Linked DNA regions of Macaca fascicularis. The main gene of each other region encodes a partner of the protein of the gene in region 2 in a complex. Links are inferred from orthologs where the notes say so. Each region holds a gene or a part of one and is shown on either strand. Other genes may lie near its edges.

Region 1 (5,168 bases), on a different chromosome or scaffold from region 2:
CGTGATCATGCCACTGCACTCCAGCCTGGGTGACAGAGAGAGACACTGAGAAAAAAAAAATGCCAGGCGCGGTGGCTCACGCCTGTAATCCCAGAATTTTGGGAGGCCGAGGCGGGTGGATCACGAGGTCAGGAGATCGAGTCCATCCTGGCTAACACAGTGAAACCCCATCTCTACTAAAAATACAAAAAAATTAGCGGGGCGTGGTGGTGGATGCCTGCAGTCGCAGCATGAACCCGGGAGGTGGAGCTTGCAGTGAGCCGAGATCGTGCCACTGCACTCCAGCCTGGGCAACAGAGCGAGACGCTGTCTCAAAACAAAAACAAAAACAAAACAAACAAACAAAAAACCTAAAGAAACGGTCTGCAGGTCCCCTAATCCAAAAGGAGAAAAGCCCTGAAGTGTCTGCTGTTTTCACTCTAACCAGTATGGTGCCCAGAGATCCAAGTGGCAGATAGATGGCAAGCCTCAGGATAGCACAGAGCTGCAGGGAGAGTGAAGGCTGCCTGACAAGGGAGGGCCACCTGTCATACTCTCTCCCCCACATTAATTATTCCAGCCACTCCTGGCTCCAGCAGGACACTAAGAAGTATCCCCAAAGGGAGTCACCCCCAGTATTGCCCAGTAAATAATTTAAAAGCAAAAATGTGGGAAACTCAGGAGAAGGTCAAACAAGTCCACTAGAGGGAGCCCCAACCAACTCTATGCTGCAGGGAGCCTCACAAAGCAATGTCTCAACACCTGTCTGAAAATCAACCACACAAGGGAATGGGGAAATGTAGCAATAGATTAAGTAACTAGGAGAGAAGATAGCCATGTAAACACCTAGCTAAAACACAGGCTTTTCAAGAGCTACAAAATCAAACATTTAAAGATCAGGAAACTGATGCTGAGCAAAGTCAAATGGCTTGCCTCAGTTTACATATCCACAGTTGGGACTCAAACTCAAATGTCTTGTCTCTAACCTGAGCACTTTCCTGCACACTTGCATCCCTCTAGGTCAGTACCCTAGAGTCCATGGGTCTGCTGTTCCTTTGTGTCTCATTTCTCTGAAGTGGGAAACGCCCTCGACTACCTATTCCTGTACTTATTACCCTCATTCCACAGTGTACTGAAGAGGATCTTCAGTGGTTTGGGGTTTTTGTTTGTTTGTTTGTTTGTTTGTTTGAGACAGGGTCTCCCTCTGTCATCCAGGCTGGAGTGCAGTGGTGCAATCATAGCTCACTGCTGCCTCAACCTCCCAGGCTCAAGTGGTTCTCCTGCTTCAGCCTCCCGAGTAGCTGAGACTAACAGGTGTGCACCACCCTGCCAGGCTAATTTTTTAATTTTTTGTAGAAATGAGGTCTCACTGTGTTGTCCAGGCTGGTCTTGAACTCCTGGCCTCAAGTAATCCTCCTGCCTCAGCTTCTGAAAATGTTGGGATTATAGGCATGAGCCACCGCCCCCAGCTTAGATCTTCAGTTTTAAACCTACTAATGTCATTTTGCTGATGGGACCTCGGGATGTCAATTGTCCAACATGGCTACTGTCAGTCCTTTTCCTCTGTATCAGCACAACATATTATCTCAGATGTGTACATCTGAATTTGGAAGTCTCCAAATTGCAGGCCATGTCTACGTGGCAATGAATCATAACCAATCGGCCTCCAAAGCCCTTTCTTTTCAAACTATACTTAGGGTTTTGGGATAAGGAAAGAACTGACCCTTTGAGACCTTGATATTTTAAGCTTTGTGAGCTGATTTAGCCCATTCCACCTTCCTACCAACTCCATGTTTCCCAGTTGCCTGGACAACATACAGCCTCCCGAAACCCAACCTTCCAGCCCTCAGTCCTGCCCTCAAGAGAAATTTGCCACCAAGGATTGGCTCCCAGGACCCAGGCCCCGCCTCAGGCTCCTCGCTAGTTGGGCCTTCTCTCTGCCACTCCCCACGGGTGGGTCACTCCACAGGGAGCCCCAACACTGGCAGGAGAGGATCCTACAGGTAGGAAGAGGGGGTTGAGGATGATGGGAAGAGGGAGGGGAGCAGGTACAGGGATTTATCTAAAAGAGAGTTGTGAGGAGTGACTTCCGTACAGTCAGCCTGGTTGAGAGAAAAAACTTCACCCTCCCCGTTGACCCCAACCCTGCCTGAGGTTCCAAAGAGACTGTGAACTGACTTTTCTGAAGAGTATGAGATGCAAATTTGGAGTAGAACCAGGAGACTCCCCTGAGACTCCTGATTCAGTCAGGAAAGCATCCCTGTGTCCAGACCTAAACATAAGGTCCCCTCCTTCTCCCAGGACAGCAAGGAGATGCCACTTAAAAACAAAGAAAAAGGGAAGAAATCTGGGGCGCAGAAGAAAAAGAACTGGGGTGAGTCATGGTGGGTGGAGGTGCCCCCTGCTTCTCCATGTTCTGGCATGAAGACCACGCAGAGCTCCTCCAGAGAGAATTCAGCCTTCTACATGACAGGATGGAACTCTCTTGACCTTCCTCTTTCGTGTCCTTGAAGTCAGATGCAGGGAGCTGAGGAAGTGGGGAAATGGTCACTCACGCTGTCCTTTAAGCACCATCTAGCTTTGTGCCTTCCTAATATATTTGTCATGTGTATTTTGCATATCTGTTATGTGCTGGTTGGTAAGGACACAGTGCTGACTTCAGTAGACTCTGCCACCATGGATCCCTCATTTAGTGGTCCTCAGGTCTCCTGTGGCAAAAGTGCAGGGTGTGGGGCGAGGACGCAAGGAGAGTGAGGAATGCTGAGATCACGAAGAGCTGAGGCTCTGCCACTTGCCACAGCAGGTGCAGATGTGGAGGCTGAGTCCAGGCACAGGCTGGTGGTGCTGGAGAAGGAGCTGCTCCGAGACCACTTGGGTAAGGAGGGTAGAAGTTGGCATGGGGGTGGGCAACAGGGCAAGTGAAATGGGGCATTTCTGTATCCTGGGGGATTGGAGAGTTGGAGATACAGTGGGGGGCTAAGTTGAACCCTAACCATCCCCTAGTGGAAAAAGACAATGAGAGAGGGGTGGGCAGTGAGAGTTGATAAAGGAAGCTTTTTTTTTTTTTAGACAGAATCTTGCTCTATTGCCCAGGCTGGACTGCAGTGGTGTGATCATAGCTCACTGTAATCTCAAACTCCTGGACCCCAACAATCTTCCCACCTCAGCTTCACGAGTAGCTGGTGCACACCACCCTACCTAGCTACTTTATTTATTTATTTATTTATTTTTCTTTTTTAAAATTTATTTTATTTTATTATTTCATTTTATTTTATTTTACTATCTTTTTTTTTAAGACAGAGTCCTGTGCTCTGTTGCCCAGGCTGGAGTGCAGTGGCGCGATCTTGGCTCACTGCAACCTCTGCCTCCCAGGCTCAAGTGATTCCCCTGCCTCGGCCTCCCAAGTAGCTGGGATTACAGGCACACAGCCACCACACCCGGCTAATTTTTGTATTCTTATTAGAGACAGGTTTTCACCATGTTGGCCAAGCTGGTCTCGAACTCTTGACCTCATGATCCTCCCACCTTGGCCTCCCAAAGTGCTGGGATTACAGGCATGAGCCACTGCGCCTGGCCCTATTTATTTTTCTTATAGAGACAAGGTCTCACTCTGTTGCCCAGGCAGGTCTCAAACTCCTGGCCTCAAGCAATTCTCCCACCTAAGCCCCCCAAAATATTGGGATTACAGGCATGAGCCACCATGCCGGGCTATCCGGAAAGCTATTTTGTATAGGCAGAACATGGAGAGAGTCTTTACTTCTTAATAATGAGGAGCCTGTGAGACTCTAGGGATAAAAAACAAAAACAACAAAACCCAGAGAGAGAATAAGAGGCTGGACGCCCCGCCACCAGATTTCTAGAGACGGGCAAAATTCATCAAGTTCATGGGGGCTGATTTAGCGGGCCCCAGCCAGTCCTGACAGTGGCTCTGGGACTGCTCACAGCTGTACGGAGGGATGAAGCCCGTCGAGCCAAGGCTTCCGAAGACCAGCTGAAGCAGAGGCTGCAAAGGGTGGAGGCTGAGCTGGAAGGGGCCCGAAGTGAAGGGAAGGCCATATATGCAGGTGTGTGGTCTGTTGAGCAGGTGGGCAGGAGACAGGGGCCTGGAGGAAGACAACCAGCAGGGTCAGATGATGCAAGGAAGGGAAACAAGGAGGGCTTCCAACTGCCAGGCCTGGTCTTGGTCTTCCCCGAACAGTACAAATCAGGCAGGATCCTGCAGGAATCAAAGGCAGGTAGGTTCCTGGGATCCCAGGCAGGGGCCTGCCAGGATGCCTGGTGCCATGTGCTTGATGCTGTGTAGGATACACATGCAGTCATAGCCATCACCTCAACCATCCTATGGGAGGGGAGAAGGACTAGCATCCCCATCCAAAGCTGGACGGTGGGGGAGGTGGGTTGGGCTTCCTTTCCCTTCCTCAGGTTTTCATGGTCTCTAGCTTCTCAGAATCACAAAAAGAACCAAGAAGACCATGGGCCGGGAGTGGTGGCTCACACCTGTAATCCCAGCACTTTGGGAGGCCGAGGCGGGCGGATCACGAGGTCAGGAGATCGAGACCATCCTGGCTAACATGGTGAAACTCCGTCTCTACTAAAAATGCAAAAAATTAGCCGGGTGTGGTGGCAGGTGCCTGTAGTCCCAGCTACTCGGGAGACTGAGGCAGGAGAAGGGGGTGAACCCGGGAGGCGGAGCTTGCAGTGAGCCAAGATCGCACCACTGCACTCCAGCCTGGGCGACAGAGCGAGACCCCGTCTCAAAAAAAAAAAAAAGAAAAAGAAAAAGAAGAACCAAGAAGGCCTTTGTGCTCCTGTTCCACTAGACCAAGTAGAGTCTTCCCCACCCACAACTTCATTTCCTTTCTCCATCGCTCCATCTCCGACCTGGGTCCCTGGCGGCCTACTGCCCCCACCCCAGAGATGAGTCGCCAGTGCCATGCCCTGCAGGAGGATATGCAATCCCGCAGCAAGCAGCTGGAGGAAGAAGTCAAGGGCCTTCGGGGGCAGCTAGGTAGGTTTCCCCATCCCCCAAGCCCCTTGTCTCCAAGAGTTGCAGCAAGGGCCAGCATGAAGGGGCAGACTTCAAAGTCTCTGCTCCAGAAAGCTGCCACCTGGGCTCTGGGATCACTTTCCCCACTTTCACTGACCCTCCACCACCGAGGACTGGAGCAGAGGGTTCGGGATGCCAAGAA
Region 2 (5,130 bases):
TGAGTGTTCAGACAGGCTCTGCGTGGCAGGCAACAGTGGGCACTGACAAAGGGCTCCTTGGCTACTGGGACAACACGGAACCATCCTGTGAAAATCATTTCAGCAGTGGAGACCTTTGCTATCACTTCTTTCATTAGCAATGACCTCTAAATTAAATTAGGCCCTGCTGGTTTGTCGATGAGCAACTGAGAACGTGGCGGGCACCAAACACGATTCCTTCCTTCATGGAGCCTGCTTCTTGTGGAGGAAACAGGCAGTAAAGCAAAAGAAGAGGGTCAGGCTTGGTGGCTCATGCCTATAATCCTGGCATTTTACGAGGCTGAGGTTGGAGGATTGCTTGAGGCCAGAAGTGCAAGACCAGCCTGCACAAACAGCAAGACCCTGTCTACAAAAAAAAAAAAAAAGATCTTCCTGCCTCAGCCTCCCAAGTAGCTGAGACTACCCACACTTTGGTCCCAGCTATTTGGGAGGCTGAGGTGGGAAAATCACTTTAGCCCAAGAATTCAAGGCCACAGTGAGCTATAATCGCACCACTGCACTCCAGGCAACAGAGTGAGGCCCTGTCTTAGAAGGGAGAAAGTGTCAGATGGTGATGAGGTCTGGGGGGAAAAATAGATAATGGGGATTAGGAGTGTGGATGGTGGTATTCCCTCACCAAGAGGTGGCATGTGAGCAGGCAGCTGGGAGGTGAAGGTGTGAGCCATGTGGAAATCTGAGGGAAAAGCATTCCAGGCTGAGGGAACAGCCAATGCAGATGCTGTGAGGTGGCCAGTGCCACTGAGCAGTGAGCTGCTATAGGGGCAGGTGATGAGGTTGGAGAGCGGGGTCAGACAAACTACACTTCTTAAAACAAGTTGTACAGCACCTGCCTCAAGCCTGAGCTAAAGCTGAAAATTGACACCTCAAAGCAGGTGGAAGCCAAGAGATGGAGGAAAGCCCTCCTTCCCTACTAGAATGAGTCCACCTCAGACAGCCAGATGTTGGACCTCTGCCTCTGTTCCTAGATCTCTGTTGCTAGATGAAGGAAAGGGCCCCAGGGGACCCATGTTCAAATCAAGGGCTCCCTGGGTACCAAGTTCTGTGTAGTAAAAATTCTAGCAGCGTGGGCCTGCCTGACATCATTTTCTGCACAGTTTCTCATTCTAATTAAGGCATAGATTTGCTGGTGAGGCACTGGTGAGGGCTTGAACAGACCCAATCCCTGGTGCCTGGCCCCTCGCTGCTTGCAAAGCTTTGCCTCAGCATCCTGGCCACTGGAGCAGTAGCCACTGTTCAGCAGTGCTCACCACAGGCCCTGGTCCAAGTTCCTCCGCGGGCGCCAAGATGAGTTGTGGCACCCCGATTTATTGATGAGTTAACAGAGCTTCGAGATGTACATCCAGGGTAACCAACTAGTAGTCCTCGGCAGAGCCGAAATCAAAGCTACCCTTTGAAACCTCCACCACCCTGGCTGCCTCTCCCTTCCTGAAGGCCACTTTCTTTTTTTATTAGCCGTCCCTCTGAAGTCTGTCCCTCTCACCCTCCAGGAGATCAGGGGCCCCAACCACATCTTGTGGCGCCAGGGCTGGAAGGGTGTTTGGCACAGGACATGGGCTGTGTGAAAGAGCACTCTGTTGGCCTGGAACCTTCCTGCGTCTGGTGCCAGATTTTCAGCCGGGGAAAAGGTGGACGGTGCCCTCCCGCAGGGCCTAAGGTCAACAGGAGACCTCAGGGGAGTTCAGTGACTTACACAGGTGCCCTGGAGAAGGTCCGTCCACCCTCATCTTCCACAGACGCTTTTCCTGGACCAGCTCCCTATCCATGGCCACACAAAAGCTAGCAATAGAGCACAAGGACTCCAGACCAGCAGCCTGCCCGACCTCCACCTCCCGCAGAAAGCCCACCCGTTCCTAGACACGTCCCACGGAAGCACAGGGCATAGCTCAAGACCACGGTCCCACTACCCCCAAAGCGGCCGCTTCCACGGAACCGTCCGAAGGGCTGGCCTCGCCACCCTGCGCGCGAGTGAGCCGCTTGCCGGCGCGCAGCTGCAGCCAAGGAAGCAGCAGCGCCCCCTCCTCTGAACCGCGGCGCACTGGTCCTCCCGGCCCGGCCCGCTCCTAGCAACACGGGGCGTCCCCAACGACAATGACCGGCGCCGGCGCGCGGGACTCTGTGTGAGGCGAGCGCCGAGGCTCCCGAAGCGGGTGAGGCGACCTCGGGGGAGTGGGGACACACAGCCCCGGTCTCCCTTATCGGGGCCCGCTCAGGTCAGCTGGGCCCGGGAGCCCCTCTAGCGTCCTCTGCCCACACCGGCCAGAAGCCCACAGGCGGCCATTGCCTGGGTTCCGTTTTCTGTGGCGGGGAAGCGCCGGTCCGTACCCACAGGAGACCCCACGCCCTCCATGCGAGGACGCCCCGCGCCTCCTCCCCACCACAGTCACTGTCTGCAGACCGTCTGGCCCAGGGCTGGGTATCCGAGTGAGGCGAGCGGAGGAACTATGGGAAGAAGAGGGGGAAAATGGGGCATCCGTAGGGCGTGGAGGAGAGCGGTCCCAAGCCCTGGGGCCCCAGCCTTCTGCGAAAGGCCGTCCCTGTTCCCAGCACCCGAGGGCTGTAATCCCTCCCGCGTGTCCAGAAGCTTGCTTCCGCATCTCCCTCCCTCCCACTGCACTGCCGGTTTTCCTGGGTTACCAAGGAGAAACCAGCGCCTCTACACCCCAGGTAGGATGGGGGAGGGACCCCGTGGCCTTTGCAGCTGAGCTTCCTTGCTAGGGTGTCTGAGCTGAAGGTAAGGAGGGGTGGGAGCAGAACCGCTGGAGTCCCTTTTGAGACAACAGACCTGAGTGGTCAGGAGTTGGGAGGAGGCCAGCCCGGGGGCTGTGGTAAGTGAACTGGCGGTTTCACCCAGCCCAAGTCCAAGTACGCGGGCCGAGGCCCGGTTGGAGAAAGTTTTTTGCCCTTCCATAAATGGAATTCCCAACTTGGGAGTGACTTACCCCAAAGTAAGACATGGTGGGCATGAAAGAAATGGAGGTGGGTGTAGACAAAAGCCGAGAGTCCTGAGGACAGACGAGGGCTCTCCTGAGGGGATCTGGGATGGGAGTGGCTAAGAAGGCAGTCAGAGCAGTGGGTGCAGAGCCAGCTCCTGGGGAAGTGTCCCAGGCACAGAGGTGCTGTCTGCCCAAAGAGAACTGGGTGTCTCCACTTCTCGGCTAAGAGGAAGGGAGGTAAGGACAGTTGAGGACCAGGACTGTGATGCACAAGAAGGTGAGAATGCTCCCCTACAGCATCTTCCTCGTGTTCCCATTAGGGCAGGTGGAAGGAGCTCCTGCCCAGAATGGTTAGATTTAGCTGGGGACCTGAGGAAGGATAGAGAAGACCGGAGACTTCCTGTGGAGGGAATGTGCCAGGGGCAGGAGAGCACTACTCTGCAGCACTCCGTTGGGCTCCTCTGGCCCTCCAAAGGATGCAGGCAGTGGTCCAGCTTGCAGAAGGCTTCTGTGCCCAGCAGTGAACTGGAAGAGGGAGCCTGGACTATTTAGGTCAGCACCAAGGGGATAACCCTGGGCTCCGTGTTGGTGAACAAGAGAGCTCATGAGCTGGAGAAAGTGGGAGACTCACTGGAAAAGTGCTGTGAATGACTGAGTTGGGAGCAATTTATAAGCAACCCCAGCATCTCATGGAAGTAAGAGCATTAGACAGACACAAACTAAAACCTCAGCTTCTCCACTTACTAGCTAGTGACATTTAGTAAGTTACTTAAGCTTTCTAAGTTTCAGTTTCTTCATTTGTGAAACAGGGACAATAGTGTTAAATAATAATCCTCAATAATTAATTTCAGAATTTAATGAAATTATGTAAGTAAGCCATCTAGCATCTTCACTATATCTAACACACATCTTGAGTGCTGGCTCTGGGCCCAGCACTATATGAAATGTCTCACACACATTAACACCTTAATCTTCTGGGTAATCCTATGAAATAGGTACTATTAAGTACTGTCCTCACATTATAGATGAAGAAACTGAGGCAAGCGGGGACCTGCCCAAGGTTGCACAGATAGTGGGGGGCACTGTGGAGATTTGACTTGAGGCAGCAGCTCAACTCCTGAGTACTTAGCCAGCTGCTGTCCTGCCTCCTGCTATGTACATGCCATTGAAGGCCTAGAGCTCTCAATAAATCATAGCTATATATAGCCAAGGGTATCGTTCCCAGAACACCTGTCCACCAGATTCAAGCCATCAGAAATGAGGACAACTCTGGCCAAACTGGAGCATCTTGTCACTTTCTATTACACGTGCTTGGGCATGGAAAGAGCAGTCCTTCACACCCGGTCCTTTGAGTTAATGGCCTGGTATGGATGTTGTTCCCTGTGTGTGATTTCAGGACCCTGGACCCTGGTCCTGAGGATGCACAGTAGGGGCCCAGGGGAGGAGGATTGTCCCTTCCCTAGGGACTGTGGTACCAGGTTAGAGACACAGCCATGTGAAGCCAAACTAGCTGGTAAAGGCAGGCCCCAGAGAAGTGAAAGTCCACTGCATGTGTCCCCACTTTCCCCCTCTGAGAGCACAGCACATCCTTGGATGGGGACACCAGGTGGTGGCACAAGACATACCCACTCCTGGTGGCCCTGACCTCTCTGGAATGTCAGGATTCCTGCCCTGCCCATGTTCAAGACTGGCGTCTTGAACATGCTCCTAGTCTTCAAACTCTGGGATTCTCTGACTGACCCAACAGGTTCCCCAGGGAAGGAAAGCTCCAGAGAGGAAGGTGACCCTTCAGCCACCTCCAGGACTGCCCTGATGAAAATATTAAATTTTGTTTCATTTAGGGGGAAAATGCATTTACCCTAACAGGGATGAAAACTGTACATTAGGGCCCTGAAATTCCCATAGTAAAGTACCAAAGGCCTGGGCGCGCTCTCAGCCCAGGGAGGCCCTCCCCACTTTCCAAGGAGCAAGAATATTCTTTCTTCTTTCCTAGTGGAGGGCAGGAACAGCCAGGGGAAGGGGACATACTGAGTGACTGTGGAGGGGTAGTGTATTGTGACTAGAGGAGGAGACCTGCCCTCAGATGCTGGCCCCGGCTCTCATAGGTGTTTTAGGGCCAGTCATTTCCTGTTTCCTTGTTTCTTCATCTGTAAAATAG

What was found. Proteins that work in one complex are often made in the same cells at the same time.
Region 1: DRC5 (region 2) and DRC12 share a complex: the UniProt entries of both Homo sapiens proteins name them as parts of the nexin-dynein regulatory complex. The link is inferred for Macaca fascicularis from reciprocal best matches to the Homo sapiens genes DRC5 and DRC12.

What each region holds. Positions count from the first base shown.
Region 1 is NC_088388.1:118,066,009-118,071,176, reverse strand, and holds the start of DRC12 (dynein regulatory complex protein 12), read left to right. Parts: upstream 1-1,939; 5' UTR 1,940-1,982; intron 1,983-2,280; 5' UTR 2,281-2,292; coding exon 2,293-2,353; intron 2,354-2,779; coding exon 2,780-2,854; intron 2,855-3,923; coding exon 3,924-4,043; intron 4,044-4,894; coding exon 4,895-4,987; intron 4,988-5,168. UniProt on the Homo sapiens protein: Component of the nexin-dynein regulatory complex (N-DRC), a key regulator of ciliary/flagellar motility which maintains the alignment and integrity of the distal axoneme and regulates microtubule sliding in motile axonemes.
Region 2 is NC_088378.1:127,220,156-127,225,285, forward strand, and holds the start of DRC5 (dynein regulatory complex subunit 5), read left to right. Parts: upstream 1-2,071; 5' UTR 2,072-2,186; exon of another isoform or gene 2,187-2,703; intron 2,704-3,561; exon of another isoform or gene 3,562-3,667; intron 3,668-5,130. UniProt on the Homo sapiens protein: Component of the nexin-dynein regulatory complex (N-DRC) a key regulator of ciliary/flagellar motility which maintains the alignment and integrity of the distal axoneme and regulates microtubule sliding in motile axonemes.